4 linked regions of the Caenorhabditis elegans genome follow. The protein of the gene in region 2 purifies or fractionates together with the protein of the main gene of each other region. This does not show direct contact. Each region holds a gene or a part of one and is shown on either strand. Other genes may lie near its edges.

Region 1 (9,094 bases), on a different chromosome or scaffold from region 2:
ATTACTTATGTATGTATATTATTTTTTAATTGTGTCCGTAAAATTTATCTTTTTCTCTCTCACCTAAATTTTTATCTGGTTGATACCGGTATTTTCGAATTTTTTGGTCACTTTCATACAGCGTTTTAAATTAATATTTTGTTCAACAAAATCCCTCTGTATTTAGAAATCACCTCTGTTTTCCCTAATAAATCTGGTATTTTTTCTTTCTCGTATTATGCATGCCTCGAGAAAATGGGGAGTCATCATCAATGAAGCCTTATTACTATGAGTTTATGGCTTCTAAAGACGTTAATCTGTGCGTGTTGGGAAGAGTAAAAACTACATTTGGATTCTCGATTTTCTCATTTTTAGCTTCATCTTCATTTCAAATAATTTGATTGCTAGGAAATGTGCTTTCAATTACAAGAATATTTAACTCCTGGCGTTGTTCTTAAATTCCGACCATATCGGTAAGTCTGTCTAATATGGACGCCAGTTTTTTGCCCAAACTTGGCTCAAATCTTCGATCAAAAAAATTTTCGTTACAGAAATGTATTCATTGGAATATCCAGCGTTGCAATTTTTTTCGCAATCTTAATAATCGTCGAGAATATTATATTTCTGTCCATCGTCAGTAAACAGTACGTTTCACACTGTCTTCAAAATCATAAACCCCTCCTTATTTACAGAAGTATCCCACTTCTTCTCATCCCGTATATTCTCTCTTGGGTGCTGTTCTTTCTTGGATTTTGCTTTGCTCGATTCGCATATCTAATTCATTCGGGTCGTAAAAGCTGTGCATCAGTGATTCCTCTATCCTCTCCGATTGCTTGGGAGGATAGTCGACCTGTGTCACCTGTGCCGGTTAGTTGATTTTACACTTTATACTTTTGAAATTTTATTTAAATTTGAAAGCTGGAAACCAAACAAGTATTAAATATTGAAAACAAATGCGAGTTTTACCCGTTTTGATGCATCATGTCAATTTGAGATCTAGAAACAGTTAAATTTGAAATTATAGCCTTGGTAAACTTGTTGAGATCGCCCTGTTGACGTAGACTTGTATGAGATTGGTCTGGAAAGTGTGATGCTATCATGAAACGCAATCAAATATGAAGCCTTACCATTGCTTTTGGCAGCTTGGTGAAATGTGGTGTCATCCTTTGCTCGCCAACTCGATTTACCATGGCGACAAGACAATAGACGACGGTCTTCCTAACAGTTGATGACGTAGATTGATACGCCTGAAAATGTTATGAGTTCCAATTGAGTTTGCTAAAGTTTTCGTGACTCACTTTAATAATCGTTGGAGTGATATCATCTACAATATTATTCAACTCCTCTGCTGGAAGTTCCTCAAATAATCGTGTTACCATTTTAAGAACTAGAGAAGCTCTTTCATCGTCGATAGGTTCTTGATTTAGAATAACTTTTGCAATATTAATAATATTTGAAAGTGGTAGATGAGTTGCCAATGTTCTCAAACAATCTTCCACAGCAAGAGCCGTTGTTGCGTCGTTCGTATTTACAGCTGCATCCAGAACTTTGCACACTGCCATTTCAGTCGAATCAAACAGTTTTGCAGCTTGCGCGGTGCACATCTTCCCGAGAATTCGTAGGCACATTTTCTTATTATTTTCTGATCGACTTTTTGAAAGAATTTCGAATAAGTTGAGAAGAAGTTTTGCATAACACTGCTCCCACACACCGAAACCTCCATCGCAGATCATCATGTAAATAGAGCTTATTGCACTTTCTTGCTCATCCGCGTTTTCAGAGCTTCTCATCTTTTGTAGGAGGTCTTGAACGTTCTGGATTTTTTCCAGTGTATCAGGTGGGAGTGTGACAGTGGAGTTTAGCTGGAAATGTTGAATATTAAACTAGGAAAAAGAAAATTAAAAAAATGTTATTTCAATCATTTTAATTGAAATTTAGTGACGTAACATATGCAAATATTTGTTTTATCTCAAAATAATTGTTATTTTAGTTAGAACATTTGGACAAATGTTCAAAAATTTCCTAAAGGTTGAAAATTGCCGAAATAAAATCCAACAAGTCTTCAAAATGTTTTAATGGAAACTTTAAACTTTCCGACAACTTTTTCAGTGTTTTTTCAGACTGAAATAAAAATTATTTACAGATAAATCAAATATTTTACTATATTCTCTCTTTAAATTTTAGTAAAAAATTTTGCTATTTAATACGAAATAAAATGTTTTTAATGTTTTTTTTTCTATTTACTCAACGAAACTGGAAAATTAAATTCTAAAAATTGAATAAATCTATAATTATTGAGAGAATAAAAACACTCACATTAACTTTCTCCATGAGCCTTGACGTTGATTGCTCTTCTAGCCTACTCAATGCCAGATTGTTAGAGATATTGAGCGAGCCGAGATTGACGCCAGTTCCGCCTTTTCGTGCTCCAAACTCGGGTAGACCGAATGATGTTGACTCTTTTTGGAAAGAAGTGTTGCTTGTTTCACGAGAAGCCGTTGCTCCAGAGTTGGTTGCGATGTTGTTGCTACTGCAAAAAAGTGATGAGCCATGTCTATGGGGAGTTTGAAGTCATTTCTCATTTCTCATAACGAATGCATGACCATACTGAACAAACCTTATTCCATTTTCGAGTCCATTTCTCTGAAGTGTTTGGTGTATCCAGTTCTTCTGCTCACTGTCAAGATCGCTAATTAGTGCAGAGAAATCAGCGACATTAACACAAAACATGGAGCAAATCGCTTTCTCAACATGTGGTGTTAGTAGAATTGACAGTCTAGGATCAGAGGCCCATGTGAGCATTTTTCGGATTGCGGTCTTCAATTCTTTAGCATTAATGGATGCTCCAGGTTCCGTATACTCATCTAGCAGACTTGTCAAATACTCCAGCAGTACAACACGAGCCTGAAATTTTTTTTGAAAATTATTTAACAATTCTTAAAAATGATGTATTTTTAAAAATCTAATGGGAAAATACCAACCTTTGGAACCATCAAATGTATCGGATCGCACATTAGCTCGCAGACTGTGACAAGTTGGTGATGAGCATTGAAGCATTCAAGGATGACGTTCAAAGTATGACCAATTTGTTTTTTAGTGTTGGGCAGAGTTTCAGCGGCTTTCCGAGCAAACAATTTTGCAAGAGCTAATCGAAGCCATTCGGATAATCGACTACTATGGGTTCGAACGAATATAGAGTAGATCTCAAGAACCATCTAAATTTGAGTTATTTTTTAAATAATCAAAGCACTCTTCTGAATCAGCTTACGGTATTTGAAGCATCCGAAAGCAACCGATTTAGACAATTTCCAATGTTTTTGATCTCAATTGGGTTTAGACTAGTGTCACTGAAATTTTAAATTTTTTGAGGTCAAAACATTTTGAACTTTAAAAAACTCACGCTACAATAGGCAACAGTTTCTTGATTCCTTCCTTTTTCTCCGAAACTGAAGAAGAGCAACATTCTTTCAAAACTTGGGAAACCTTGTCGTGTGCTTCTATTGTCGGTGTTTTCAAGGGAGATCTTATTCGAATCGGTAGTAAAAACTCATCATCGTCGGTAGTATCCGGCATTCCAAGTTTTGCAAAGAAAGACCCGTTTCCATATTTGACTCTAGCTTTCTGTGTTTCTGGTGGTAATGGAGAATTCCTTCTGGTTGGAGATGTGTCACGAGAGTCGGTGGAAGTAATTGAAGATGTTCTTGTTCTAGATCCGGGCCGGTTTGGATATGGAATTTTGGCGGAAAGCAAGAGAGTTTTGAAAAACATAGATATAAAATTAGAATACTTACATCCAGCTGGTGAAGTATCTTGCCTTGCCATTGTTTTTGTAGAAGTCGGACGAACCAGTCGACTAGGTCCAGCAAACTTTGTAGCTTTTGGATCAATTGCAGACGCACTTCTTTGCGCGAGAAATTCTGTTTCAAAGTAACTTTGAACATCCAGTTTGAAATCAAAAACTTACTCGCACTGATATTCATATGAGCTTTCGATCCAGCTGATAATTTCGAACGAATTGGTATTGAGCCCTTTTCACTATTCACACTTGCCCATGAAGACGCTGCATCTCCCCCTCTAAGCATTTTCTGTTTGGAATGATCGAGTTCTAGATACAAAGCATCAGCTTCTTCGGAATGCATTTCGTCAAGTTTTGCAAATGCTCTTCTACCAGCTGCTCTTGTCTCCGAGTCAGCATCATTGATTGCTGATTTTATGAGCTCGCAGATTTGACGCATTATTTGCTGAAAAAATACAATATTTCAATTAGTTATTATCAATTAGTAAACTACCTTTTTGATTCTATCACTCCATTTACTGATAACAATTTCTAGAAGAGCAGCCAGCTGTCTTCTTTGAGATTTGTCCTTGGATGTTGAGAACGAAGAGAGAATTGTGAACACTTGACGGGTTTGTACATACTGAAATTTTAGGGAAATCTTATAAGTTTGTGGATTCAAAAAACGTACTTCTACAATAAATTCTGTCAATGTGCTCGCTGAAGTGGCCATAATCTTCGTGCTAACAGCAACTTGTGACATTGCTGGAACGAGAATATCCTCTCCAATTGAATGAGTCTCGATTCCATATTTACTAACAATGAAACTGCATGTTATTGCGGCTTCTCGTAAAACTTGTGATCGAAGATCCTTCACTGCCAACTCGAAACAACCAAGAAGTTGAACAAGATGAGCAATCATTGTTGGTCGATCGACAACTTTCTCCCCATGAATCACTAGACTTCGGACAGTTTTTAATTGAGTTTGTCGTTTATTCCAGTCTTCGGAACTATTTGATAAAATAATTCGAACTGCATCGAATTTATTACGAAGGTCCACGGCAGAAGTGATGGGCTTAAAAGATTTTTATCTAGTGTTGTATTGATTGGAACATATTTGCAATCGCCAAAAAGGGAAATGTTTGAAACTACTTATATGGTGCGAAAATGACAAAATATCATAGAAACCGTTTAAAAATTACTTGAAATTTGTTATTTTACAGTCAAAAAATGGTACTTACTTTAATTTTCACCTATCATAAATTTGGATGTCGATCGAAAAAATAAATTTTAACTACGAGTTTGACATTTTTTTTCTTTTAATTGGGTTTGAGTTTGACTTAAATATTTCTATTTGAACATTAAATGGGTTCTAATCAGCAGCAGTGCTCGAAATTACCCAAAAAGTCCATACTTTTCGTAAATTGGCATTTTACCAAATTTTTGAAATTCTGAATTTTTTCAAATATTTTGAAAAATGTTCAAAAATTTTTGGAGTGTTTTTTATATTTGGGCATGTTGAACTATTATAAGTACCTATTAATACTCACCACTTTTGGGACATCTTCGAAAATCTTTGTGAAATCCGCTTTGCTAACCGAGTAAACTCCGCTTTTTGGTTGCATTCGGCTAGTCATCCCATAAAAAATGTAAAATGGTTTGAGAAAATCTGAAAAAAAGATTAAAGCTGTTAAAAACCAGAAACTTTTCTGACGTCGAAATTCAAAATTAGCGGACAATGTTCGATAATTCGAGAGGACTCCATGGCTGAGAGGTGTCGTTTTTCCCGGCCACAAATTTTGGCGGGAAATTCAAATTTGAATAACGGAGAATAGATGGAAAAGATAAACTAGGAAAATACAAAGGGCAAAAAAGTCGACGCACAAAAAGTTGTAGAAAGTGGTTAGTGGTGTGAGTGCGGGGAGACAACACCCAGAGCAGCTGTGTCCGAATGGGGCAAAAACGAAGAAGAAGAGATGCAAGAGATACCATAGAGAGGACATCGTTGGATGGACGGCAGACGCGTCATGTCATTCCGCTCCAATTTAACACATGTTGGTTTTGAAGGCAGATGTGAGTGTGCGCACAGGAGGAGAGACTATGCCAAAAAATGTTTCAATTCTCATGAAACAACCAGTCTAAATGTGAAGCGATTTGAAATATTACGAGAAATTTGATATCTCGATGGAGTGGTCTATTATAACGAAAAAAACCACAAATTATACGTCGCTTTTCCGTTTTTTTCTTTTAGTGAGCAGGCATTTATGCATGTGAAATAAGTATAAACATGCTCTCAAAAAGACGGGAAAAATAAGAAGAAGAAAATGGAGAAAAAAGAAAAGGCGCCGGCGTCTTCTTTCTCCCATCTTCTTCGGTCCTTCCATTTCTGTTGTCTTGCTCCGCGAGCAGCCAATTGATTGTAGTTTCGCGCCCAAAAGGGTAAATGGAATTTCAAATTGGAAATGGAGAAAGAGCATCTAGAATTGAAGAATTGAACAACAATTGAAGCTAAAGACTTGCAGAGAGAAATAACTACTGCAAAAAAGTCTAGTGAGCAAATAAAAGGACAAAAGAAGAGTGTTTGGATAACTAACAGAATATGACTCTTTAAATATATGCTATTTTCGTGTATTTACAGGAATCGATAGGTGCGCCTAAAAGGGTCGATGCACTGAAATTACAAAAATATTATAGCTACATATTTCTACGTTCATAAAACGTTCCAGAAAACACATTGAATATACAGTTTTTGTTCACAACAGTCAACTTGAAAGAAAATATAAAATAAAGAAGAAACAATAAATTAAAATCTCAGCCAGTCATCGCCTTCCGCTGTCCGTAAAGAAAGAACAAAAGAAAATAGAATAAAGTGAGGGAAAATCGAAAATTTATGGAAATTATGGGAATTGAAATGACATGTTGGTTTAGATTATATTGAATAGGCTAATGCATTTTGTATGAATAGGGTCAATTATAGTAATTTCCACATTTTTCCAGCCTTCTCCGATTGTTGATGTTACAATGGTAATTCCACCAATGATTTATCGAAATTCACTTACTGTACCAACAAGCCCGTTCTTTATCACTGATAATGGAATCAGGTATGTTCTTTTAATGTGTTTTTATATATCTCAAACTCAATCCCTAAATCCACCTAACTTGAAAAAGTTTCAAATATTTTTGAAACATATACTCATTTAGCAAATTTCAGCACGTATCGTGACGAGCCACCATCATACAATGAAATTGTGGAGCGTGGTGTATCTCCGATTCCAGCACAACCAGCCAAAGTTGCACTTCCAGACGTATAAAATCCTGTTAACTCGCATATATTTTATTCTGAATCTCTCTCTCACCGAATAATTTAAATTTTAACATTTTGTATCAAATTTGTATTCTTTTAAATATCTTGAGATTATTGTATCTTTTATGTGTCTTCTAAACTTCCTTCTGATAAATTACGATGCAACAATCTCCGAAAATTGAAAATTTTAACATAAAATATATTTCTCAATTGAATTTCAATATTCAAACAAATTTAATAAACTTATTTATTTTGATTTTTGTGACCACATATTGTGGTTCGTTGAAAACAAATGAGCGTCTCTCCACCACCAAAAATTTCTAAAAAGTGGCGCAACAACAATGAGAAAGATGTGAAAAATAGAGCAACTGGATGGCTTTTCAAATTAAAAGCTTTTTGACGATCATTCGGTTACTCATATAGAGAGAAAGAATACTTATGAAAGACGATTGGCACGGGAAATGAATGAAAAAGTTATTGGGTGACTACTGGTGGTCGACGCTCGATTTTGCACACTCCGTTGACCGAACGCATTGAGACAGGACACGTGGCTTCTGCAATAACATTTACACGCTATATAACTTTCGATCTTTCTTTTTGGAAATTGAACTTACGACAACGTTTGATTATTTTTCGATTCACTTCCATCTCTAGAAGCACTTGATTTGGTGGGCAGGGAAGTGTGGTTTTCGTTGGCTTCACGTTTTTCACTGGCTTGGTTTTCTGAACTGGCTGTGGTTTTTGACGCCTTCGTCCTGGGTGCATATATTGTGAAGCCATCTGAACGGCTGCTGATGCTATCGAATGAGCCATTCGGAGAGGTTCAGGTCTTTTAGATGTGATATCTTTTATCTGAAATGTTTAGTGAAGGCTCTCTAGATGAAGGAATGAATAGTTACCTGAATAATATAGCTCTGCATATTCAAAGGTTGTCGTTTTTTGCAACAATGTGTCTGTTTTGTTTTTGGCGACCTTCTACAGAAATATCCTGGAGGGCATGTTGCATATCGAGTACAAATCACTGGTGCTTTTGTTGCCGGGAACAACAAAGCTTCACCACCGTCACAAACGTCCTTGAGAACTGAAAAATATTTGTTCATATCTTTTATCCCTGAAGGTTTTATCCCTGAAAGCTTAAGATTTAAGCGGGCATATTATAGCGGGCAAATATTAAAGATGCTTCCGCAGATTCCGATGATCTTAGCTTACCATAGGTCCTCATGACTAGTTTGTTTGCTGCACAACAGAAATAATTTTTCGCTTGTGGACTCCAAGTACATGAATACCCAACTGGACATGGTTGTCCACTGATGCATTGCCTTGCGATTCCATTTGCCAGGTAAGGTTGTCTCGGTGCTGGGCAGATACCTTCATTCATGATTTCAGCATGACCAGGTTGTGGCTGCCAATTGGAACTTGTTGTCGTGATGACTGCTGATGATGTAGAAGACATCGGAGGTTGAATCTGTTTCATGACATGAGGAGAACCCGTTGCAAACTTGTTAACATTCATTGGTAGAGAAGGTCTCACAGATTGTTTCTTATCGCAACGATGGCCTTTTCTAACTGATGACTCGTCACAATCACATACTCCATCAATACATTGACCCATTCCCTGACATTGAGCAGAATGTACACAACTTCTTCCAAGTGTTACCAACGGGAAACATTCGTCTTCTACTTTAACTTGTTTATCAGTGCATTCTGTAAACTTGCTGATTAGTTTCGCATTGTATTTCTGAGTGTTAACTCACTTATTTCCCGTTCAATTGAGACATCCATACACTGTTGCTTCTGTTCAATTGTTCCAGTTGGACATGAACATTTCATTGCGATGCAATGTGATTCACCAACACATTGAGGTGTTTCTTCACACTGTTCTCCAATTAAAACTCTATTCAGACACACTCCATTCACAGGGACTTGGGAAGCTTCGCATGCTGAAATATAAATTCAAACTGTACAACTGCCTAATTATTTTCGGGAACTAACTTTCTCCACCAGCACAACATAACTCAGCTCCACTCTTTCCACGA
Region 2 (6,121 bases):
GAGCCAAGGCCATGTGAACAATACTCGATTTGTACTTGTGACATGAGCAAGAAGAACTTCTCGATCAATACGATTACGATCAATTACCTGGAGAATTTTGATGTTAGATTTTAGATTATTAGATATTTGGATTACTCTTGCAAAAGCTGCATCATTAGGAATGAAGAAAGTATGGAATCCATTCCAAGCTGAGGATCCATAAATTACTAACGCAATGTCTGGAGTACGATCCAGAATATCACGAATTTGTCTGGAAAGTTAAGGTTTTGGAAAAAAGAACAGAAATTTCCCTATCAAATTGTGGAAATAAAAACTAACGATAAATCTCGATTATTGTATTGTCTCTCTTCGAAAACTGATCCATCATGCTCTCTGATAAATGATAATGCAGTTCCTGGATATGGACGATGCCCCATTGGTGTACAAATCTGAATTTTTATTGGTCATTACTGTAGGCACAAATATGCCTACTCTCCTGCCTTTGAATTAAAGCTATAGTTTCTCGGAACTTTTTGTCGCCTATCTCACAAACTTCTCTACGTTTCAAACACATATAAGGTGCTCTAGAAAATTTGAAAAATGAACTATGAGAGGTTTTGGCGAGTTAACGGGATTTATACGGATGGGTCTCGCATCGCAAAATGCATTTTTGTAAAAAAAACTATGTATGCTCTTGTAAGTTCGCTATTGTCCTATTCAACTCAATTCAACTGCTCTGAAAATTGAGCTTCAAAAAATTACTTTAAAAAGATATTGTTCTCCAGAAATGATTCCCCATTGATTTGAAGCATGATTGCACATCATTCCTGCATTTGCAAAGTAAGACTGCAATTTCCAAATATTTTTTTTTCAATATTATCAATCTTACAAAGTTTCCAGGATTGTTCTCGAATTGTGTAATATATGTATAACCTGAGTTTATAGTCGAACGAATCAATGTCTGCTTGTCCCATAGTTTATTCTGCGTCAGTTCGACAACTTGTGAATCCACTGAAATTTTAAACTTATGAGATTTTCGTGAAACTATGGTCTCGACACGACTTAAATGCTCTCAAATGAAGTTCGAGCAGATAGAGCCTTTCAGGATTACTGTAGTGGTGAAACTACAGTACTCCTTATAGGCTCACGAAAAACTTTTCATCTTATTAAAATTTATGACGCCTGGCTCGCCAAAAATTTTGATTCTCAGTTACAAACCTGGGCGATAAAAAACGCAAAGATACAATACCAGGTCTCGACACGGCCTGAAAATTTTATAGAAGGGCGCGTGTGCCTTTAAAGAGTACTGTATGTTTCAAAGTTTTGATGTTTCGAAATTAGTTTTTCGATCGCGTCGAGACCTGTTACCGTATTTTTTCGTGACTCTCGAAAACAACTGTTTGTGAGTTTTACCTATATGTGAAAGTGTTTCTTTCTGATCCATTGCTCTGATAGTCGGATTATAAGTGAAAACATCATCCACGGGAGCAAATACAGTAACCCGGGCGTTACTATCCTTCATGTATGCAGTTGCAACAGCATAATAACCACAAAGTGCACGCCACTAAAATGAAATTCAGATATTATATATTTGTAGATTCAAATTTTCAACAAAAATCTAATTACTTGTTGCAGATCTGGCATTCGTTCCGTCTCGGCCCATAGATCTGACTTGATAGGTGTGAATAAAATAAAAATAAAGACTAAAAATGGAATCATCTTGGTTACATGAAGAAAACTAATAATAAAGGAAGAACGATCGATATGCAAGTGACTCAACCTTCGTCTACGGCTCGTGGGAGGTTGAACATGGGCGGCAGACCGTTTGTTTGATCAAGAGAAAGAGTATGGAGCGATACGAGAGTGCAGATTACCTGGGTTCCGTCCGCTTCATTAGCATATGACAGGAGGAAGCGATACAAACAGAACGGGTGCTTCTCATCTTACAAGCCCCCACAACCCCTCTAAAATCGAAGAACAACATCCGAACAGGTCGTCTATTTATTCTGTCAAAAACCGTGCTGTTGTACCGTTTGACACTGTAAAACAGCATAGGTCAGAAGAAAACAACATCACTATACAAAATAATTTTGGAAAACGGGTTGAGCTAATTTATTTATTGGTTGGCCTTTCTGAGTTGATACTCGACGACGATGAATGGAGCCCAGAATCCGATTGCGAGGAAAGTGACGGCCTTGGCGGCGAATCCCCACTTGTTGGTGACGTGGAATGGGAGACGCTGAAAATTATTGATTTGATTTGAGAATTATTCTTAAATACTCATTTTGATATAGTATTTGCACATAAAAACGATACAAATTTTGAAATTTCGTAGATGGTCTGACATCTTAAGGTTGTGTTTTTTTATAAATACGTTTACCATATTGACGGCACGAATGTTTTATTCAGGAATAATACTACAAAAAGCTTTGTGGAATCTAGAGATCTTATCACACCATTTTCCGAAATTGGAGGTTCATTAAAATTAACAATTGCCAAAAAATCTAAATTAAAAATTTGTAAAATAGTTATACAACAAGTTTTCGACATTTTCTGTATGTTTTGCTTTATACGTAATTTTGAGAAGATTTAAAAAAATTTCACTTCGAAACTTCTACAATAACTTTTTATAGCGTTTCCGTTCTGATCAATAATAATTTAGATACGCAACGTTAGGGAAAAAAAACTTACAGCAGAGGCCCAACCGTCATTGACGAAAGTGTTTGGTCCTTGTCCGGTGTACGTGACGGCCGATGGCGAGTGGCTGCTGTGGCCCTTTCTGACGGCTTGGACAATTGGGCGAATGACTTGGCGGCTCAACATCCTGCTGAAAAACATGAAATAAAGTATGTACATACCGACTAAAAATATAGAAGAGAAAAAATTCCGTTTTAAAATAAATAGCTTTTAAAACAAAATTCTAAACCAAGTTACTTATAAAAATTACTTTGAGTGATTAAAAACACATTTTTAAATTATTAGAAAATTTAATGAGCTCAATTTACAAGATTAATTTCAAAATATTAAGCCCGTCTGTGCACATAATAGTCGGTGAGCCATAAAACTCTGACTTTGATGTGTAAAAACGAACATGAAATTTGTTATTACTTTGCTCCTAAGAAATATTTTCAAGGATGACTCGGATATTAAAACACTGAAATCAGTTTTAAGCGTGCTTCAGGGATTATATTATAAGACAACTTGTTACAAAAAAAATAGAATAATAGAACAAAAAACTTAAGAAACGAAAAAATAGAGTGGAAACGTTGGGCAGTCCGGGCGAAACGAGAACTTTTGGCCGCGCTGCGGTCACGCGTCGCGTGCGTTTTCCAGTGGAGCGATGTTTCATAAATATATTTTCAGCAATTTTTTACCTGATTTCGACATTTTTCTAATTTTCTTTACAATTTTCAACATAACATTTTTATTAAAGGCATCATGTCGAAGCCGGGACGCCCAAATTTGTCCCTGGCTGGCAAGCGAGAGGCTCCCGCTCAACAGAAAAATAATCGTGGAGGTTCTACATCGACAAGAGGAGCTGGGAGAGGGTATTTCAAATATTTCTATCGTAGAATATCAAATTTCTCATTTTTAGCCGTGGTGCTCGAGGTCGAGGAGCAGGTCCCCGTCCCAAGCAAGAGCTTATACAAACTGGAGGAGTATTTTCTGAAGGTCTAGGAGGCGATTTCCCATCTAGGAAGAAGGATAAAGATTCAGATGCTTCGCGTAAGTCGTTTGAAAGTTTTAGAAAATTTATAAAAGCCTCGTTTGTAGAGTTTTCGTATTCAAACCGAGAAAAAGGAAGCGGAGCGCCTTCTTCATCAACTGGTGACCATAACAAAGAAGGGAAAAAAGAAGAGAAAAACGTCGCAGGAAAAGCATCTTTCGAAGGCTGGGATGCTTTGTGGTGCAGTGATGATGAAGGAGATAAGGAAGAACTCAAAGCACTGATGCCACCACCAGTAAGCTTAACTACTTTTTTTTCTCAATAAAAATGACGAATTTTCAGTTTATCAGTGATCTGAGAAGAGGAAACATAATGCCGGTTGTTTTGCCTTCTGAAGATCAACCACAGTTTCTGAACATCATAAACAAAAGTGCACGCCTTTCATTGGAAGAAGATGAAGCTCCGATTGATGAGAAAAAGCCGCTTAATACCGAATCAGGGCCAAAATCACGAAAAGCGACTCCTGAACAATTGATCAATATGTTAGAAGCTTCTTCTAGCGATCTTCTTCATCTCCAGCTTCCATCCGTTATCGGATCTATATGTAATAATATCGAAGCAAATGTGGAAGCGTCAATGGAAGTGGATGAACCAGACAATGATGTTCCAACTGGAATCGTCTCAGCTCCACCTCCACCATCCGGTCTGCCACAAAACCGAAAAATTGGAAAGTTGCAAGTCACTCGTAAAGGACGTATGATTCTGAAAATCGGTGGGCATTCAATAGATATCACATCAAAGCCAACTACTGGGAAGAAACAAGGAACTGTTCTTCTTGAAGTTGATCCAAATGCTGATCAACTTCAAGCACCATCCACATTTTCTAGTGCTCCAGAAATGATTAATTCGCTGTACCACCTTGGAAATGTGAAGCATAACCTGGTTGGATCAATGACCTGGGGAGCATTGAATGAAAAGTCGAAGCGAATTGATGACGCAGGAGAAATAAACGACGTTGAAATGAGAGATGATGAGGTTTCTGACGCAGTTGACGAAAAGAAAATTGAGCAACTGGAAAAAGAACAGAGCAAATGGGGAGCTCTCGCAGAAAAATGGGCTACTGGCTTACAAACATCATAATTTTATAATAATCACTTTGATATTTACCATCACCAAGTCGTTGTTGTTGTTGCCAATTTATTGTTATCCAGTTTTTTTGTTCCATTTCATATTTATCACGTTTCATCTTTTAGTAAAACAATTTCATTTTGAATTTTTAGTAAATCAATGTTGGTACGTTTTTCTTCAGTCTGGAGTGTTAGTTTAGTTGAAGTTGATTCAGAGTGCCAGCAGAGGAAATCGTCGTCATAAAGATCGTTCTGAAGTGGAAACCGCTGTTCGCGGACCCGATCTTCTGTTGAAAGCAACGGATGAAGTATATATATAGAAGGAATATCTTAATATCTTGGGATAAATTTCAGACATCCAGTGATGGTGCATCCACTTCACTTTCAAAGTCAGTTGAAGAGTCGGCACCGAATAAAGATAAAAGTAATAGTTCCTTAGTGAAAAGTCATCATGTTCTTAAGATTAAACTCAAGAAAGTAAACATTTTCCTATCTAAAAAGGAACTGAAACTAGTGGGTTTAGATCACAAATTGGAGTGGATGTAGTGGAGCACTTCTCGACGATGAGCCATTCTATCATGGATACATGTCTCGTGAAGAGTCTGAAAAACTGGTTCGCTCACAAGGAGAGTTCCTTCTTCGTAAAACTGAGCTAACAAAACGTGGAGAAGTGGTAGTTCTCTCGGTGTTCTGGGATGAAGGTGTTCATCATTTGGTTGTGGAGAAGGCAAATAATGGACTTTATTATCTGAAAGAGTTTTGTTTCGAAGTAAGATTTTCTCGTTTGACAAATGTAATGCACCATGTTTTAATATTTTCTATACGAAAAGTATTTAATGGTATTCCAGAACATAAGTGATCTTGTCCGTTATCATCATCAAACTAGAGCGAGCGTCTACAAATCTGGAATTAAATTGTTCAGTTGGGTGGTCAGAGAAGAATGGCAATTGTACCATGAGCAGGTTTTTAGAGTTCTTCGATGCACAAATATTCATGTTTGCTCAATTATCTGAAATCTTTAAGATTAATTTGGGAAAGAAATTGGGAAACGGAGAGTTTGGAGAGGTTTTCCAAGGAGTTCTATCTGTTGGAATATTCACAAATGATGTGGAAGTTGCTGTGAAAACGATGAAAGGAAGTAAAGTTACAGCTGATGAAAGGTAAACTCATTGAAAACTTGAACGATTTAAATTATATAATTTTTAATTAAATTATGTGGTATCTCGCCGGGATATGTTGCATATTTCCCAAATGCACAATTTAGCGGTTTTGCGACGCAAGTATACGGTTGCTGGTCTCGAAACGAAATGAAATGTATACAGCTTTTTTTATTAAAACACTTTTTTAT
Region 3 (8,457 bases), on a different chromosome or scaffold from region 2:
TTTTTGATATGGTAAATATTAATTCCAAAAAATAATATTTGAACAAAATTATTCAAAAGGTTAATTTAGAAACAACTGTTTTTTTATTTATCACTGAGAAAATGGTTTGAGAATTAAAATTTTCAGATTTCTATATGATTTTTTTAAAAATTAATATATATTTTACCTCTTATTTCTCCAATTAACAACTTTATTCTTGTAACAAGCGATTTCAAATCGTTTTCCGGTTTTCTTCATTCGAACCACTGCCACATTGGTCAGAACTTTCTGATTTGTCGGCGTTTTGATATTTTTTGACATTTTTTTTCGGCTGAAATTTTAAGAGATTTTGGCATTTTTAATTTTAAAACAAAAGAGACCATTTTGAGATATAAAAATAGATTTGAAACTACTTTTTTTTCAAATGTCGAAAAAAAATTTTAATCTAAATTTTCATTTTAACGGAGAATCTGAATTTTTTTAAACTTTAAAGTCGATAAATCAAATAAAAAAGAGATAAAACCAGTCGTTGAGGTGAGAAGAATGGGTGTTTTTCGGGGTCGTAGCGTCGAAAAAACGAAAAATCGGATTCGAATTTAGTTAAAATTGGGTCTAAATGACTGAAAATTCGGTATATAAGAATAATTGGAAAATTTTCGATAAAATTCAAATTTTCTGAGATTCAAAAAAATTCGAAAAAGCTCACATTAGTTTCAGAAATGAGAATTTTCATGTTTTTTTTCGGAAAAGTAGATATATTTTTCAAAATTTTAAAGAATTTCAGTATATTTGATATTTTCCGAATAATTTTCAAGCCAATTTTCAGTCATTTAAGCCTGGTAGACTAGATTCGATTTGAAAAAAAAAAAAACTAAAAACCCTGAATAAAGCATTGGGGGAAGTGGTGGTGGTGATGACAATCGGGAAATATATACAAAAATAGACAGAAATACGGAAAAATCAGGTCAAATGGAAGAACAAAAAAAGTACAAATTTGTTTGGAAACAGTGGGCGAAAATGCGAAATTTTTCGAAAAATGTGCAAAATTTCGCAATTTCCGGATGGGGACTAATCGGGAAGATTTAAGGCGGGTTTAGGCAAAGTTTTCAATTCGAGCACATATTCGGTCAGGCGGTCTGAGGGCTCCGTTGGGCGCCGAGCCAGGGACCAGTGGAGGCCCAATTTGTGATAAAGGCTAACATTCTCGTGGTCCAGACATTTTTCCAGCGCTAAGACGGTCTGAAAATTGGGGAATTTAAGAGAAAATTTAACTGAAAACTGGGCTGTGTCGATTTACGGGGATTTTATCTAGATTTTTTCAGTTCTTTTGGTTAAAAAAAAAAATTACAGGCTTTTCACGGCACAATTTTTCTAGATTTTTCGAGTTTCTGGCGGTTTCTTTCCACATTTTTAGTGGTTTTCAGTTGGTTTTCTTACCTTAAATCAAAGTGTTTCAAACATTTCAAACTAAACAGTTCATAACTGCCATTGCCTGCTAAATATTTAGCAGACCAACTGTGGGTCTGCTAAATATTTAGCAGACCAACTATGGGTCTGCTAAATATTAAGCAGACCCATTCAAAGTGTCTCAAACCACTTTTCAGATGAATTTTATTGGAAAATCGGCGAAAAAATCCTCGTAAATCAACACGGAGCCGAATTATCTCGCCTAATTTTTCGAATTCTTACCCTCCGATTCAGACATAACACCGGCCACATTGAGCATCCAATTGAGCAACAGCAAAACGCTAATCCACATAAAAGCCAGCGCGATGACGTTTGTACGTGGCGTTTGAGCACAGAATTTACGCGAGACAGTGTCGCCGAGAGTTCTTCTGGAGCAATATATCCGGTTAGTTCGGGCGGATATTCCGTGTTGAAACGGGAATTCATGCCAAATCTGAAGGAAAATTCGATGATTTTTTTTGATAAATATAGCTTTTTTTCTCTTAAAAACCACCTACACTGTGATATTTCCAACTCCACGAATCACGACGGGTTCCTTCTCCTTTGGAATGTATATTGGCTCGGATTCCTCGTCACTACTCGGCATCACGTCTATTTCTGGCTCTTCGCCGTCACTGGAAACCGACGCCGATGGGGCTGGTGAGCCATGTGACATTTTTTATGAATTTTCTCTGGAAAAATGTAGGATATTTTAGGGGTTTGGTGTTAATTTTGATGTGAGGAAGCGGCTGAAGTTGAAAATGTTTTAGAAAATTCATAAAAAATGAGAAAAATGCCGGAAAATTAACAGTGAGCCGTCTGGAAAATAGAGAAAAAAGAAAATCAATAGAAATTGAGAACTCAAGGAGACCACGCTCTCTCTGGGTAAAAGGTTGTTTGCAGAACGCATGTTTCCGAATGTCACAGTATAAACGCGAGGTTTTTTAGTTGAACACCTAGTAAAAGTGTTATAAAATGTAAGATTTTATTAAATGAAAATAAATTATTTACTTTGTAACAAGAAAATCTAAAATTATATGTCATTTACTCGTTGTTCCTCATTTCTCCAATGTGAAATCTCTCAATTTCGTGAAGTCTCTTGTGGTATGCAACGGCGCCCTATCGCACTTTTTTGTGAAACATATTTTTTCCTTTTTTTGCAGATTTTCCAATTTTTTTTCGCTAAACGCATTTATTTTTAATATATTTGTGTTTTATAATTTTAAAAAATCTGAAATTTTGCAAAATTTTCCAGTAAAATGGGCAAAAAACGAAAGCACCAGGACTCGGACTCAGAGCAATCTGGAAAACGGGTAAAAAAAGTGGTAAGAATTGAATTTCTTGATTACAACTTTTTTGGTTTTAATTAAATGTATTAAGGAAGAAGCCAGAAATGGTGTGGCTGACATGACGATCGATGAGAGCTCGGATTTTCAAGTTTTCCTCATCAAAAAACCGATTGGTGTTAGTTTAGAAGATTTGGAGGCGCTAAAATGGTCAAACGACGAGGAAGTGTTGACGAAAACCAAATTGAAGACAGGTGAGAGTATTTTATTGAGAAAAATCTATGAGAAATTTTTCAGAATCCGGAGTTTTCCGAGCTATTGTTGCGCCAAAGTCGAAAAAGGAGCGGATGGTGCATATTCCGGCGTTCAGGGAGCGGGAAGAAGCTGACTCGAAGAATATTAAAGCTCGTAAGCATAGAATTAAGCTTAAAAGTTGATAAAATTACCCAATAACAATTTTTTTCAGAGAGTTTCGTCACTGGCGCCATCACAATTCTCCCGCAAGAGGTGAAGCCCAAGGTACTAGGAGGATTTATTTATGAAGAAGGCGAAGAACCCGTTGAAGGCTCTTCAGAAGTCCATCCAGGCCTGAAAAAGATCAAAAAGACCGCAATTTTGGACCTGGAAAGCCGTCAACAACGTAACAAAGCCTATGGAACCACTACGGAAGGCGATGGAAAACCGAGAAAACTTGCAAATATTATCGAAAAAATGAATTGAAATTTACTTGTTGACACATTTTTTGTTGAATTTATCTTTTTGTTTGTTGATTTTTCGTTTTTTTAGCTAAAAATGTTTTTTTCTTAATTTTTTTCTGGTTTTTTAAATCGATTTTTGGAAGTTTTAACATCTTCTGTTAATATTTATTTGCCACGTGGCATTTATTGATTGAAATTTAACATTTTTCAGTGGTTTTTTGGGAATTTTTGATTGGAAAGACGAGATTTTTGCTGAGTTTTCCGTGAGAGAACTAGAAAAATCGCAAAAAAAGTCAGAATCTCACAAAAATTGTGTCTAAAAATTCTCCAAAAATATTAGTAAACTAAAATTAAAATTTTCTACAAAAATCCTTATTAATTACACAAAAAATTGCATTTTAGCTTTTATTTTTCCAAATTTTTCGGGAAAATTTGTGTTCTTCTAGGTAAAAATGGGGTTTTTCAACAAAACTAAGGAAAAACAAACGATTTTTAAATATATAATTCGTATAAACCGTCCAAATCGCTCAAATTTTTCAGGATCTCATACTAAATGGAAGTAGACGGTGCTTCTGACGACGAACAAGAGCAAATTATTCGAAAACTTGTCAAAAAACCGGAATTTCTATCAGATGAAGAGGATGATTCAGTTGAAGATCAAGTCGTTTGGGAATGCGACGTAGTTGTGTGCAATTCCACACCAAATACTGAAATGTTCTCTGTTTCGTATCCTTCGAGCAAACGAGACGCCTGGGATGCAAAGCGATTTCCAATTGCCAGATATAAGAAGAATGTTCGATTGGTACGGAAAAACACTTGAAATTGGCTTGAATTCATTGAAAATCGGAAAATAGGACACTAGAATTATTGAACAAATTGAACAAATCCTGTCAAACGTTTAGAGAAATGCCCAAAAACATCTGAAAAAGTAGCCGTTTTTTTCACAATTTAATCAATTTTAGATCGAATTTTCAATGTCACTGATTTTCAGCTAGAAATGCGCTTCATGACAGACACCCAACTCGGATCATATGACAAAAAGAAGGCAGAACTTATGTATATGGATGGAGATGTCCCGAAAAAAGGACATGGAATTGAGTAGGTTTTACCACAGTTTTTGATGCTGAAAGTATGAAAATACACCTGAAATTTGCTTTGAAAAAAGTAGAAGGTAAAGAATATATTTAGCAGACCTATAGTTGGTCTGCTAAATATTTAGCAGACCAATGAGGTTGGGTCTGCTAAATATTTAGCAGATTAATTTTGGGTCTGCTAAATAATTAGCAGACCAATTTTGGGTCTGCTAAATATTTAGCAGACCCATGGTTGGTCTGCTAAACAATTAGCAGACCAATGAGGCTGGGTCTGCTAAATATTTCGATTAAAATTCGAGGATTTTCAAAGAATTTACAGATTTCTTTCGTTTTTTAAATGAAAAGTTCAATAAAATGCTTTCGGTTTGTAGCAAAAAACGTAGAAAAATCAATTTTTGAGGCTTAATGCGGAGTTTTTTTGAAATTTGGTCTGTTAAATAATTAGCAGACCAAAAGGGTTGGGTCTGCTAAATGTTTCGATTGCTAATCGAGGGTAGGGACAGATTTACAGATTTCTTGCGTTTTTTGAAAAAAAATTGATTTAAAAAATTGCTAATTAATTCGTTACATTTGTTGAAAAAAGAGTAGAAAAATCAATTTTAAGTCAGTGTTTTTTAAAATTTGATCTGCTATCCACTTAGAAGAGCCTAGTTTCGAATTTTCATTCGAAAATTGTGTGTTTTTCACATAATTTCAATTCTTCCAGTGCTCTCCGAGCCAACGATGAGATCTACGAAGGCCGTGCATTCATCCACGATCACCCAATAGTCAATGCAATTGGATTTTTTAAAAACGGCGAATTCTTCATTCATCCGCTGACTGGAGCATTCGAAATGCATCGATCAATTCAAGGGTTGAATAAAAAGAAGAAATCCGACGGAAAATCTGGAAAATCCGATGAAGATTCGTCTGGAGAAGAAGAAGACGTTAAGCCATCCTCCGCCGCAGTTAGAGTCAAATTTTCTCGGCCTGAAACTGAACGACAAAAAAAACGACGAGAAGCATCGGCGTTACATCGAGAGAAAAAGATTGCAAGTGATATGTGGATTCCGATGAAAGTTCATTTGAAAGATGGTGACCCTGTCGCTGAAAAAATTGATGGAATTAGTCAGAATGGACTCCTTTTGGACGATCCTGAAGCTTCACGAATGAGCATTAGAGCTCTTGTTAATAGAGCTATTATTTGTGGTGTTAAGGAGGAATTGTTCGTTTTTTTGTTGTAATTTTGCACAGAAAAATAGTGTGGAAAAACGGAATTTTTCAGTTTTTTTCCACAAAATCCCGAAAAAAATGGCTGAAAACTTGGGAATTTTGGTTTTTTTTTTCAGTTCAGAAATTCAATTCAGAAATAATTTAGAAATTTCCAAAATCTTTTTTCACTAAAAATTCCCAAAATTTAATTTCTTCTGAGAAAAAAAAATTAAAATTCTGTTACTTGACGGAAAACATCAAAAATTCAAAAAGTCTGATTTTCACTTTAAAATATCTCAAAAATATAGTTTTTTTACAGCTGAAAAAGCCTAAAAATTCATATTTTTCCCTTAAAAAAATAAATTTATTTCTTCTAAAACTAAATATCCTGAAATTGGATTGTTTTAATTGAAAATGTTCCTGAAAATTAGTTTTTCTTCTTGTAAATCACAAAACTAGAGGAATTTTTACTTGTTTTGAACGAAAAATCCTGGATTTTAGATTTTTGACATGAAAACGCTAAATTTTTTGTATTTTTAATGTAATTTTCATTAAAACCTCCAAAATGTTTGTATTTTTAGTGTAATTTTCGTTAAAAAGACCAAAAATTTTACATTTCTACTGGAATTTCCACTAGAAACACCCTAAAATTAATGTTTTTCAGAGTAATCGAATCAGGAAAAGAACATATGCTTTCCAAACAACGAATCGATGATCTTCCGGATCCAAACCTTCAATTAAAGGCGCATATGGTGAAATCTCACGTGATGAAGACTTCTGAAATGCGTCGTTTAATCGATCCATCCGCAATGAGCACTGATAAAATGATTGCGAAGCTCAAGGAATGCGCGAGTTTAGTTCAAGGCGTCTGGGTGTTGGATTCGAATTTAATGTTCAAAAATTTGGCGCCGGCGCACTCGAATACGGCGGGAAAGACGGATTTGTATCGGGCAGAGCTTTGGAGAAACGCGCGAGATTTGGCACTTTGCCTGATTGATGGTGGTCATAGAGTCACTCGGCTTACTCTTATGACATGCTTTAAGGTAGAAAAACTCATATTTAAAACTGGAATTCCTGTGGAAACTTCACTTTTCCACTGAACATTTGACTGGAAAAGTTAAGAAAAACTTATTGAAAATTCCTGGAAATCAACCAAATTTCCAGTAAAAAAACAAAATTGAAAAATTCAATTATGAAGTTGTTCCTGATTCTTTACTGAAATTAGGAGGCTTTTTTTTTGCAAATTTTTCATTGGAAAAATGAAGTTAAAATTTCCACATTGGAATTGAATGCTAAATGATCAAAAAAACTTCAATTTTACGCAGAATTTGATTGAAATGTAAATTTTAAAAAAGGGGGAAAAAAATCTAGGAAGCATTTGAATAAATTACGAAGAATTAAATAAAATTTTAATATAAATTTAGCAATTCTCGAAATTTCGAAAAAAAATCAGAGTTCAGAAGATGAATCTACATGAATTCAAAAATTTAAAACATATGTGTTTCAGCTCAGCGAACGGGATTCCGATGAAATTTTGTCGACTTTTGGTGTCAAATGTGAAGCTACCAGATCATGGAGACTTCGCGTCGAACGGGATGCTCAGTTTTTGGAGGATCCGGCTATGAAGAAGCATGTGGTTGAGCAGAAGGCAAAATGGGTTCAGAAATTTAATGAATTGGAGAAGTCGCTGCAGGAATCGCCTGCCAAGTCCCCGAAGAAAAAATGATTTATTTCTTTTTTTTTAGCCTTTTTAGCCTGGAATTTACAGAAAATTTGAATTTTCTTTTGGAAAAAAAATCACTGAAACTAGTCAATTTTCCATTGAAATTTTGAAATTTAGAAAAAATGACAAAAAATATTTTTTCCAATTTTTAACGAAAATTTCAAAAAAAAAATTTCTGAAATTCAAAAAAAATCCTTTAAAAAACCGATTTTTTAATTATTGCCTTCTGAAAAACCTCCCGTCAATATTGAGAATATCTAATAGAATATTGATTTTTACAAATTGGAATTTTTGTCAATTTTTTGGAACAAAAATCAATTCAAAATTTTCAATTTGTAAAAAATTCAATTTTTCACAAAAAAACTCACAAAAATTGTTTTTCTGGAAATTCAAAATTTCTGTAAATTTCGGTCATTTTTCCAAAAACTCAATTTTCCTCTCCCACGTCATTCTATTGTTTCCATCATCACCACCAAATTCTCCACCGATTTTTGTTGATCTTTTGTTGTTGTTTTTCATTTTTCTGTTATTTTGAATAATTTTTATTTCACTACTCCGAGAATTTTAATCCGATTTTCCCCTAAAATAGCCGAATTCCCGAACGGTATCCGAATGATCAATTTCAAATCTTTTTACAAACATTATATTACACTTTTTGCTATTTGCCAACACGTGTTGATTTTTCAGATTATTGCTGTACTTTAGGGGCGGGGCGGGAGAGATCAAAACCCTTTTCTTTCAAATTTAGATCAAGTTTCGGGTTTTATTTCTTGATTTTGATTTTGCTTTCACGAAAAAGAAATCTAAAAATTGCCAACAGAGTGTTTGCTTTTTTCAAAGTTTTCCTTTTTAAAATTGTGATTTTTAGAGCTTATAAATTTAAATATTTCCTAGCGTACTGGTGACGCAATTTTTTCGAAAAAGCCGAAAATTCCATAATTTTTCCCTATTTTCATTGTCAAGAACCCACGAAAAGTGAACAAAAACTTGGAGTTTTAAAGAAACAACCATCAATTGTCAATAGAGCGCGTTTGCTTATA
Region 4 (7,065 bases), 3.5 Mb from region 2:
ACCACAATTCCTCAAGCAAGTTCTCGAAAACAGTGCAAAACGTTTGAAAAAAAATGTGATAAAGAATAATTCTGAAAGTGGAGATTTTATCTTTAAATTTTTGGTAAATACGGCTTGTCTCGTTTGAAGTCTGAGAGTGAAATTAACACATTTTCTTATAAGATCGAAAAAAATGACAATCATTCACTTTCAGCCACTCATAATTTTGAAAGTCGACCAATACATTCTACTAGATTTACATCTATTACGTTTTAATTATTTACATTTTAACATTATAAGGTTTCGGACAACAGTATTGCTTTGATTTGAGTTTCCTGCAAAAAACCCAAATTTTTTAAAAATTGGTAATATCCAAAAACTTTGAGGGAACTTTTTCAAATGTTTTGAAATGCTTAGAGTGTTTTATTCCGATATTCTTTCACTATTGTAAATGTTTCTAGACAAAATCCTAACTGACTACTCATATACCTTTAATTAAGTGGAAACCCAGATTGTTTCATTACAGTAAGACTAGAGCTACGAGTTCTCAAAATTCTAAATAAATGACTTGGTTTTAAGCCATTTATTTAGAATTTTTCTTAGAAAATAAATTTGAATTTTTTTGTCAGATCTACGGTTTCGTTAGTTAGATTAGAAGTCGTGGTGGAACCAGCCAAATACAATGACTTGCGCCTTTAAAGTTATGTTTCACATAGTCATGAATACAATATCATTAAAACTTTTATGCTTACTATCGAATATTGAACGGTGTGAAGCAGAATGAACAGAAAGACAGAAAAAATTTCCTGTTTCAGGTTTCAATAAAAACATTTCTCTTCGGGGTATTCATAATAAATATTCAATTTGCTAAGTTTGTTGAAATAGACTCTTTCATCAATTCTCATGTTTAGTGATGAAGCCAATCTTTACAGGAACACATCACGAACGAATGAATCATTCAGATGAGAATAAAAAGAGAAAAAACCACAAAAAAGTGGTGGATGAAAGGGAAGAAAGTGTAACGAATGGTGTAACAAATGCTTATTTATATTTATATTTATGTGGAATTGAAAGAGAATGAACAGAACAAAGGACAAAGAAAAAGTTATCAAAGTGATGGAATTGAAGGTAGAAGCAACAAAAACGGAAAACCAAATAACTGAAAAACGTTCATTTTTTTTAACAATGATAATATGACAAAATCAGATAACATAACAACTCGGATAAATTTTAAAAAAACAACGAAGTAACAAATTTTAGTTTTCCCCTGAAGCCAAGAACAATTTGAAAGAGAGCAAAACTCGAATTGATTGATCCTGAGCAGCCAGCAAAGTAGCCTGAGCTTTACGGAAGCGATTCAATTGTGCACGATCTGGACCAGGAAGGTACATTTCTTCAACTTCTGCAATTTGTGCCAACTTTGAAGCTTCATCGAGTTGCTCAGAAGAGCGAATGTTTTCAATAATTGGTTGAACATTCGCATCCTTGTCGAGCACCGATTTATTTTCAGTTCGTTCATGTCGTTGACGAACAATAAGGTTTCGGACCAATTTGCAAGTGTACTCTACGAGACCACGAATAGTACGAGGTAGATCTACATAGTAGAGATAGAATGTGCGAGCGGGTTGGAAATCGTTGCTACGACCGACAGGCTGAAATATTTCAATATGTTGAAGTACAATAATTTTTGAATTCGTGTTATACCAACTATTCAGTAAATTAAAGTAGAATAATTCAACCGAAAATTACCTTATTGAACACATATCCTTCTTCAACTAATGCGTATAACATTTCTCTTGCTTCTTTTCCACTCATCATGCTCAACTTCTCTACTTGTTCTTCATCCAGATAATGACGATTTTCAAGAAGTCTCATAACTCGAATTGCACGTCCTTCGAACTGTTCTCTGATGAGCGATTCACAGTGATGACGACAGATTTGACGAATAGCGCGACGAATGTCTGAAATAATTTAACTTTCATATTTGAAAATCTTCAAAGAATTTAGAGAGAAAAAAACATACCGACAATAAAAATACCTCCATTTGATTCTCCAAGTTTTCTGATAATTCCGTCCGATTCATCAACAAGGATCTGGCAAGCGAGTTCAATATCTGGCTTGGCAAGGTTCAGTCCATTTTCTTTAACAAGTCGTTGCAAATCGGTCAACTGAAACGGAATAATAACCATTTTTTAATAATCACTAATCAAGCAAAAAGTAGGCTTACACTGGCTGTGATACTCTCCATACTCATTGGTTTAGCTCTCGTTTCGTTAATTTTGAACATAAGATGAGCCACATTCTGTGTGATGTATTGAGTTCTATCTCCTTGTGGATCTTCGATGGTTTCTTCTTTTTTGACATTTAAATTTGTCATTGTACCTTTTGAACCACCTCCAATAAGATAATCAATAATAAGCTCATCGCGAAGATATCCATTGAATCGGATCCAATTGATTCTCCAATATTGACCTGCATCACCATCCTCTGGAGTTGAATCAGCTTTTCGCTTTCGGTTGTTTGAAGTTGAGTCGCTAGTGGATGTTCCTGTAATAAAATATATGGAATTTATTTAAAAAGATTACTATGGTGCTAAAATGCCCGAATATGTATATCATAATAAAACATTTCAAAAAATTCGGAAAATCATATATTTTGAACCAAAAACCGGTGAAAACTCATTTTTCACCAATTTGTTTGGATGCTGTCAAGCAAATGTTTTTTTTCAGTTTTATTATGTTTGAAATATTTATATTTCATAGTGCTTCAGATTTCTCTAAGAGCGAACTCATTTGAACCACTTTTTAACACGAATTAAAACAAATTTTTAAAAAATTTAGATTTCAATATTTAGTAATTTAAGTATCATGCATGATAGAAATAAATTTAATCATTTTCCTACATGTCTATTCACTATTTATTTTTGATCACGATTTCAATCGTAATAAATACAATACAATACAATACAGACCGCATTCTAAATTTAAAGATTGCTTTATACTATTTTATTCTCATTACCTTCTTTCTTTTCCATGATATTAGTAGATATTGCAAATGGATCAAAATTGGTCACAAATTGAGGACAACCATGAATTTCTGATTCTACAGACGGAACTCGAATGAGAAAATGTGCAGCTGCGAGTTCTTCGAAAGATTTCTTGATGTCACTGAACACGGCCGTCTCATCTGTCGCTTGAATTCGACGAATTGTCTCGGATACGGTAAGCCGCCCTTGAGAAATAAGTTCGACGCAGATAGACTCTGCAGCAGGTCCGTAGAGCGTTTTAGCAATGAGGCAAGCTCTGAAAATTATATATTTGGCTCTATAAAATATATTTACAACTTTTTACCTCGGCGAGGAAATGACATGTTGAATTTGGTCGGAATCTGCAACATATGTGGTTCGATTGTTCGTGTCCAAGTGGAAAGTAACAAAACCAAAGTTGATCAATGTGGAAACCGATTTTCTGATCTGAAAATTTATCTATTTTTTCTGCAAGTGAACTCAATATCCTCCAAATCAATATAACTAACTAGAGTATTTGAAATTTGTCCTTTCAGTTTATAAAAAAGAGTAGACAACTGGCAGCTTTCTTTCAGAATCGTCTCCATTACTTTCGCCACAATCTGTAATTCAAAAAAAGTTTAAAAAGAAAGTTTTTAAATTCTTACCTTTCCGAAAATATCTTCGATGATAATTACACACATTTGAGTCTCATACTTTCCACCACCCATTTTTGATCTGAAGGTCTTTTAGTAAAAAAGCTTTCCTTGGAAGTTTTACAGATATTTGGCTTTGCAACCGCTCTGGAAATTGTTTTTTGAAAATATTTTTTTTAAGTGTTGTTTCTAATACAATAAAAACAAGTAAAACAAAACAAATAAAAAGTTAACAAAAAATTCAACAACTGGCAAATAAAAATGCAACAAAAAACATTATTGTCTTCTGCGAATAGCCCTTTTTCGTCCTTCCTTCTTTCCTTTTGCCGCTTTCTTTCGTTCCTTTTGGGATTTTTTGTGTCGTTTTGTGTCCCCGCCAGCACCAGAAGATGTAGCACGCTTTCTGAATAATGGATCATATGTTGGACAATTTTAAAAGTTAAAGATTACCTTTTATTTCCTTCGGAAAGTGCTCTACCATCTTCTCCTCTCATCATATAATCTCCAAAACTGAGCAAATCATCAAGAGTTTCCGAACGTCCTAGTTGTTCGCTTCGTCGTTTCTGATCCTTATTCAATCGAATTCTGGTGAAGTTATCCTCCTCATAACGTTCTCTCTCACGATCATATTGATATTTCTTCTCACTCATCTCTCGAATTTCTTCCGGAGCATCACTGTATTGATTTTTGAGTTCCATAATAAGACTACTTTGCATTGCACGACGTTTTGCCTTTTCTTGTTGCTTGTTCGGAGCTTCGTCTTCTTCTAAAATGAACATAACTTTACGGAAAACTAATTTTTGAACATACCTTCATATCGAACTGCTCTAATTCTTGGTGCCACATATTTCTTAACTTCCTTTGCTCCTTTTCCTTCCTCATCATCTTCATCTTCCTCCTCTTCTTCTTCATCTCCTTCAACGTCCATATTGTCTAATCGAACTCTGTGATTTCCCTTGGAAGAACCATTTGATGCTCCACTCTCGGCGCTTGACCGGCCTAGTAGCTTTTCAATTTGAGGTTTCATCTTATCCTCGACTGGTTTCATTTTTTCAATGAACTGAAACTAGTTTTTTAGGAACAGTTGGAATACTAAAATACATACCACTCTATGCTTTAAAGCTCTTTTAACAGATGGTTCTACTGTAATTGACTCTCCTTTCATCATTTTCGACATAAGGACAGTCAACTCTCCAAGGTACGCTGTCATTTCATAGTTTTTCAGCTTCAGAAGACTAAGCCCCTGTAAATAAAAAAGTTTTTGAATAAATCTTGAGGTTTTCATTTCACTTCTTTGTCATCGTTCGTTTCCTCCATCCGATCGAAAACTTTACTGAAAGCTTTTACTGCTTCTGCAGTTTGAGTTTCCAGTTCTGCCACTAAATCAGCAAACGCTTCTTGCTCCGTTTCGGTCATCTGAAAGAAACGTTTTTTTTGATACAACACAAATTCAAAAAGTTAATTAATAAGATCATTCAAGATAAATTGTTGGAAACGTACCACACAAAAAAAAACAGTTTAAAAAAGAAAGTAAAGCGTTTTCTAAATTTATTTTTCTTTGGTTATTGGAATGCGTGAATTGAGTTATTTGTATAAAATTTACAGAAATGGTGGATAAATCTTTGATTAAATTGTTATCTACACGGCGGAAGAAGATGGTGGTGGCGGTGGTGGTGGTCCATCATTTCCGTCGTTTTTCGCATATGCCATAAACATTTCTTTAAGAAATGATAACTCTTTCTGTAGCTGCTCGACCTGATAGAGGGAATTAATTAAAATTAAAAAATCAAGTAAACAAGTACCTTTCTTTCTAGTGTTTCGTTCTCCTTTTTTAATTCGTCTACTTTTTCTGCAGTGTCATTTTCTTCCTGGCGTTTTTTTTGTCGGGTTCTGGAATTTTTAATTAGATTTTAGCGGCTAAAAATGAAATTTTACCTGTTCACAGCTTCGTTATTCCGTTTTCGTTTAGTGGAATAGTCATCTTCATCGTCCTCACGAGGCTCTGATGTGTTTCGCTTCCGATTTCCACTCATCGCTTGAAATTGCAACAAAAAATCGAGGAAAACTATGGAATTAATAGAAAAATGATGGAAAAAAGGTTTTGTGGAATTACGATAAAGTACGCGCGAGTGTGTAAAACGGAGCGTCGTTGCGTGAGACACCACAGAAATTCGAGAAAGGGGAACTAAAACTCCTGAAAAAATATATAGGAAAGAGCTACTTTCACGATATTCACGATAAATTAATTACTTTATATTTCTCGAATAAAACTGAATTTATTTTAAAATATAGTAAATGAACTATGTACTACACAAATTATTTAGCCAGCCAATGCAAAAGTGGAGGTACAGAGAGCATATAACCATGATCGTAGATGTAAATTCTCTTATCATAAGCATTATAGCTAATCATATTGGCGTTCTTGTACAAATTAATCCATTTAATCAAAGGTTGGGAGTATGTGTTTCTGTAGAAATCGTATGCCGTAGAGATATACGTGGATTGTTCTGATGCACTTTCCACCTGGAATAATGTTGATTTGATTTTGCTATTGGTCAAGCTTGATATCAAATAAAAAATTCTAAACCAAATAAATTGTTCCACAAACGACGATTCCATTTGCAACATCTGTATGATTTACTGTCGTGAGGTTGAATGCCTCATAAATTGTCAAATTATTTATATCCACCTGGAATAGTACCTAGTAGATAGATTTCAATGAACAACTTAAAATTACTTTAGCTACTGATAAGAAAGCTTCTTCCTGATAGTGAAACATGACCCAAAGTGCATTTTCATCGATTGCCAAGTCAAAATAATTCATCGAATTATTATAAAGGTACTGAAATTGGAAACTTTGACTTAAAACAATTTCAAAACTCACCTGATCCCCACGATAAGCTGCTCCCGGTATTTCAAACTGTGAGTACTGTTTCGAGTTGAACTCGTATTTTGCAATAATTGGATATCCTGCTCTTTGATAGAAAAGAGATGCATTGAAAATAACATGATTTGTTCCATCGAATATATATGGAAGGCGATGGCTGAAAAAGAATAAAAAGTTCTCAAATATTTGAAAAATTTTGAAAGAAAACCATACACTTTTCCGACATGGTCCCGTCGCATTTCAGCTTCATTCCTAAATTCGATGAGCTCGTGGCCTTGGAAATGGTTCATTACGTATCGTTTTCTAGCGTCCTGAAACAAGATATACATATGTTGAGATATGCCTTTCTCATAATGTACAGTATACCAGTACTCGGCGAACCAGTGAGTTTCGGTTTGTGACAGCTTTCCAAACTTTTTTTTACTTTTTCCCGGTTTTTTAGCATTTTCATGCCCGAACGTCTCGACCGGAAAACGCCTCCGAAAAATGAACCACGAACATACATACAGAAAGAGTTGAATAAAGTGTGAGCAAATTTT

The links.
Region 1: the proteins of F26E4.4 (region 2) and cls-3 fractionate together in Caenorhabditis elegans (co-fractionation; one large-scale study listed by BioGRID). This does not show direct contact.
Region 3: the proteins of F26E4.4 (region 2) and W06E11.1 fractionate together in Caenorhabditis elegans (co-fractionation; one large-scale study listed by BioGRID). This does not show direct contact.
Region 4: the proteins of F26E4.4 (region 2) and let-611 fractionate together in Caenorhabditis elegans (co-fractionation; one large-scale study listed by BioGRID). This does not show direct contact.

The regions. Positions count from the first base shown.
Region 1 is NC_003281.10:9,185,687-9,194,780, forward strand, and holds cls-3 (Protein CLASP-3), read right to left. Parts: upstream 5,424-9,094; 5' UTR 5,392-5,423; coding exon 5,305-5,391; intron 4,830-5,304; coding exon 4,446-4,829; intron 4,398-4,445; coding exon 4,269-4,397; intron 4,221-4,268; coding exon 3,944-4,220; intron 3,897-3,943; coding exon 3,380-3,896; intron 3,327-3,379; coding exon 3,248-3,326; intron 3,195-3,247; coding exon 2,961-3,194; intron 2,884-2,960; coding exon 2,597-2,883; intron 2,510-2,596; coding exon 2,296-2,509; intron 1,842-2,295; coding exon 1,278-1,841; intron 1,227-1,277; coding exon 1,107-1,226; intron 1,058-1,106; coding exon 998-1,057; 3' UTR 872-997; downstream 1-871. Other genes in the region: ZC84.7 (uncharacterized protein), read left to right, coding at 391-452, 531-623, 672-846, 6,752-6,855, 6,966-7,065; ZC84.6 (BPTI/Kunitz inhibitor domain-containing protein), read right to left, coding at 7,533-7,612, 7,673-7,910, 7,958-8,139, 8,268-8,762, 8,813-8,998, 9,051-9,094. UniProt on the Caenorhabditis elegans protein: Microtubule plus-end tracking protein that promotes the stabilization of dynamic microtubules.
Region 2 is NC_003279.8:9,769,857-9,775,977, reverse strand, and holds F26E4.4 (DNA-directed RNA polymerase III subunit RPC4), read left to right. Parts: upstream 1-3,412; 5' UTR 3,413-3,417; coding exon 3,418-3,527; intron 3,528-3,574; coding exon 3,575-3,705; intron 3,706-3,753; coding exon 3,754-3,941; intron 3,942-3,988; coding exon 3,989-4,786; 3' UTR 4,787-4,917; downstream 4,918-6,121. Other genes in the region: F26E4.7 (FAS1 domain-containing protein), read right to left, coding at 1-87, 136-250, 319-428, 742-825, 869-990, 1,393-1,543, 1,606-1,698; cox-7C (Cytochrome c oxidase polypeptide VIIc), read right to left, coding at 2,096-2,218, 2,671-2,802; F26E4.5 (Tyrosine-protein kinase), read left to right, coding at 4,934-4,939, 4,989-5,081, 5,128-5,250, 5,297-5,542, 5,622-5,735, 5,797-5,933.
Region 3 is NC_003281.10:638,110-646,566, forward strand, and holds W06E11.1 (RNB domain-containing protein), read left to right. Parts: upstream 1-3,949; 5' UTR 3,950-3,962; coding exon 3,963-4,211; intron 4,212-4,400; coding exon 4,401-4,507; intron 4,508-5,209; coding exon 5,210-5,707; intron 5,708-6,358; coding exon 6,359-6,737; intron 6,738-7,201; coding exon 7,202-7,420; 3' UTR 7,421-7,957; downstream 7,958-8,457. Other genes in the region: sbds-1 (Ribosome maturation protein SBDS), read right to left, coding at 167-300; tag-266 (Golgin subfamily A member 7/ERF4 domain-containing protein), read right to left, coding at 1,048-1,218, 1,669-1,879, 1,944-2,101; tag-267 (Major sperm protein), read left to right, coding at 2,685-2,750, 2,806-2,965, 3,009-3,119, 3,178-3,431.
Region 4 is NC_003279.8:6,251,691-6,258,755, reverse strand, and holds let-611 (DNA-directed RNA polymerase III subunit RPC3), read right to left. Parts: upstream 3,722-7,065; 5' UTR 3,715-3,721; coding exon 3,652-3,714; intron 3,607-3,651; coding exon 3,514-3,606; intron 3,452-3,513; coding exon 3,330-3,451; intron 3,282-3,329; coding exon 2,998-3,281; intron 2,527-2,997; coding exon 2,207-2,526; intron 2,148-2,206; coding exon 2,003-2,147; intron 1,941-2,002; coding exon 1,729-1,940; intron 1,632-1,728; coding exon 1,236-1,631; 3' UTR 1,136-1,235; downstream 1-1,135. Other genes in the region: lpd-2 (LiPid Depleted), read right to left, coding at 3,916-4,042, 4,090-4,405, 4,450-4,699, 4,745-4,882, 4,930-5,055; cebp-2 (CCAAT/enhancer-binding protein homolog 2), read right to left, coding at 5,278-5,394, 5,442-5,529, 5,575-5,672; cof-2 (Olfactomedin-like domain-containing protein), read right to left, coding at 5,956-6,162, 6,227-6,328, 6,377-6,481, 6,524-6,683, 6,740-6,837.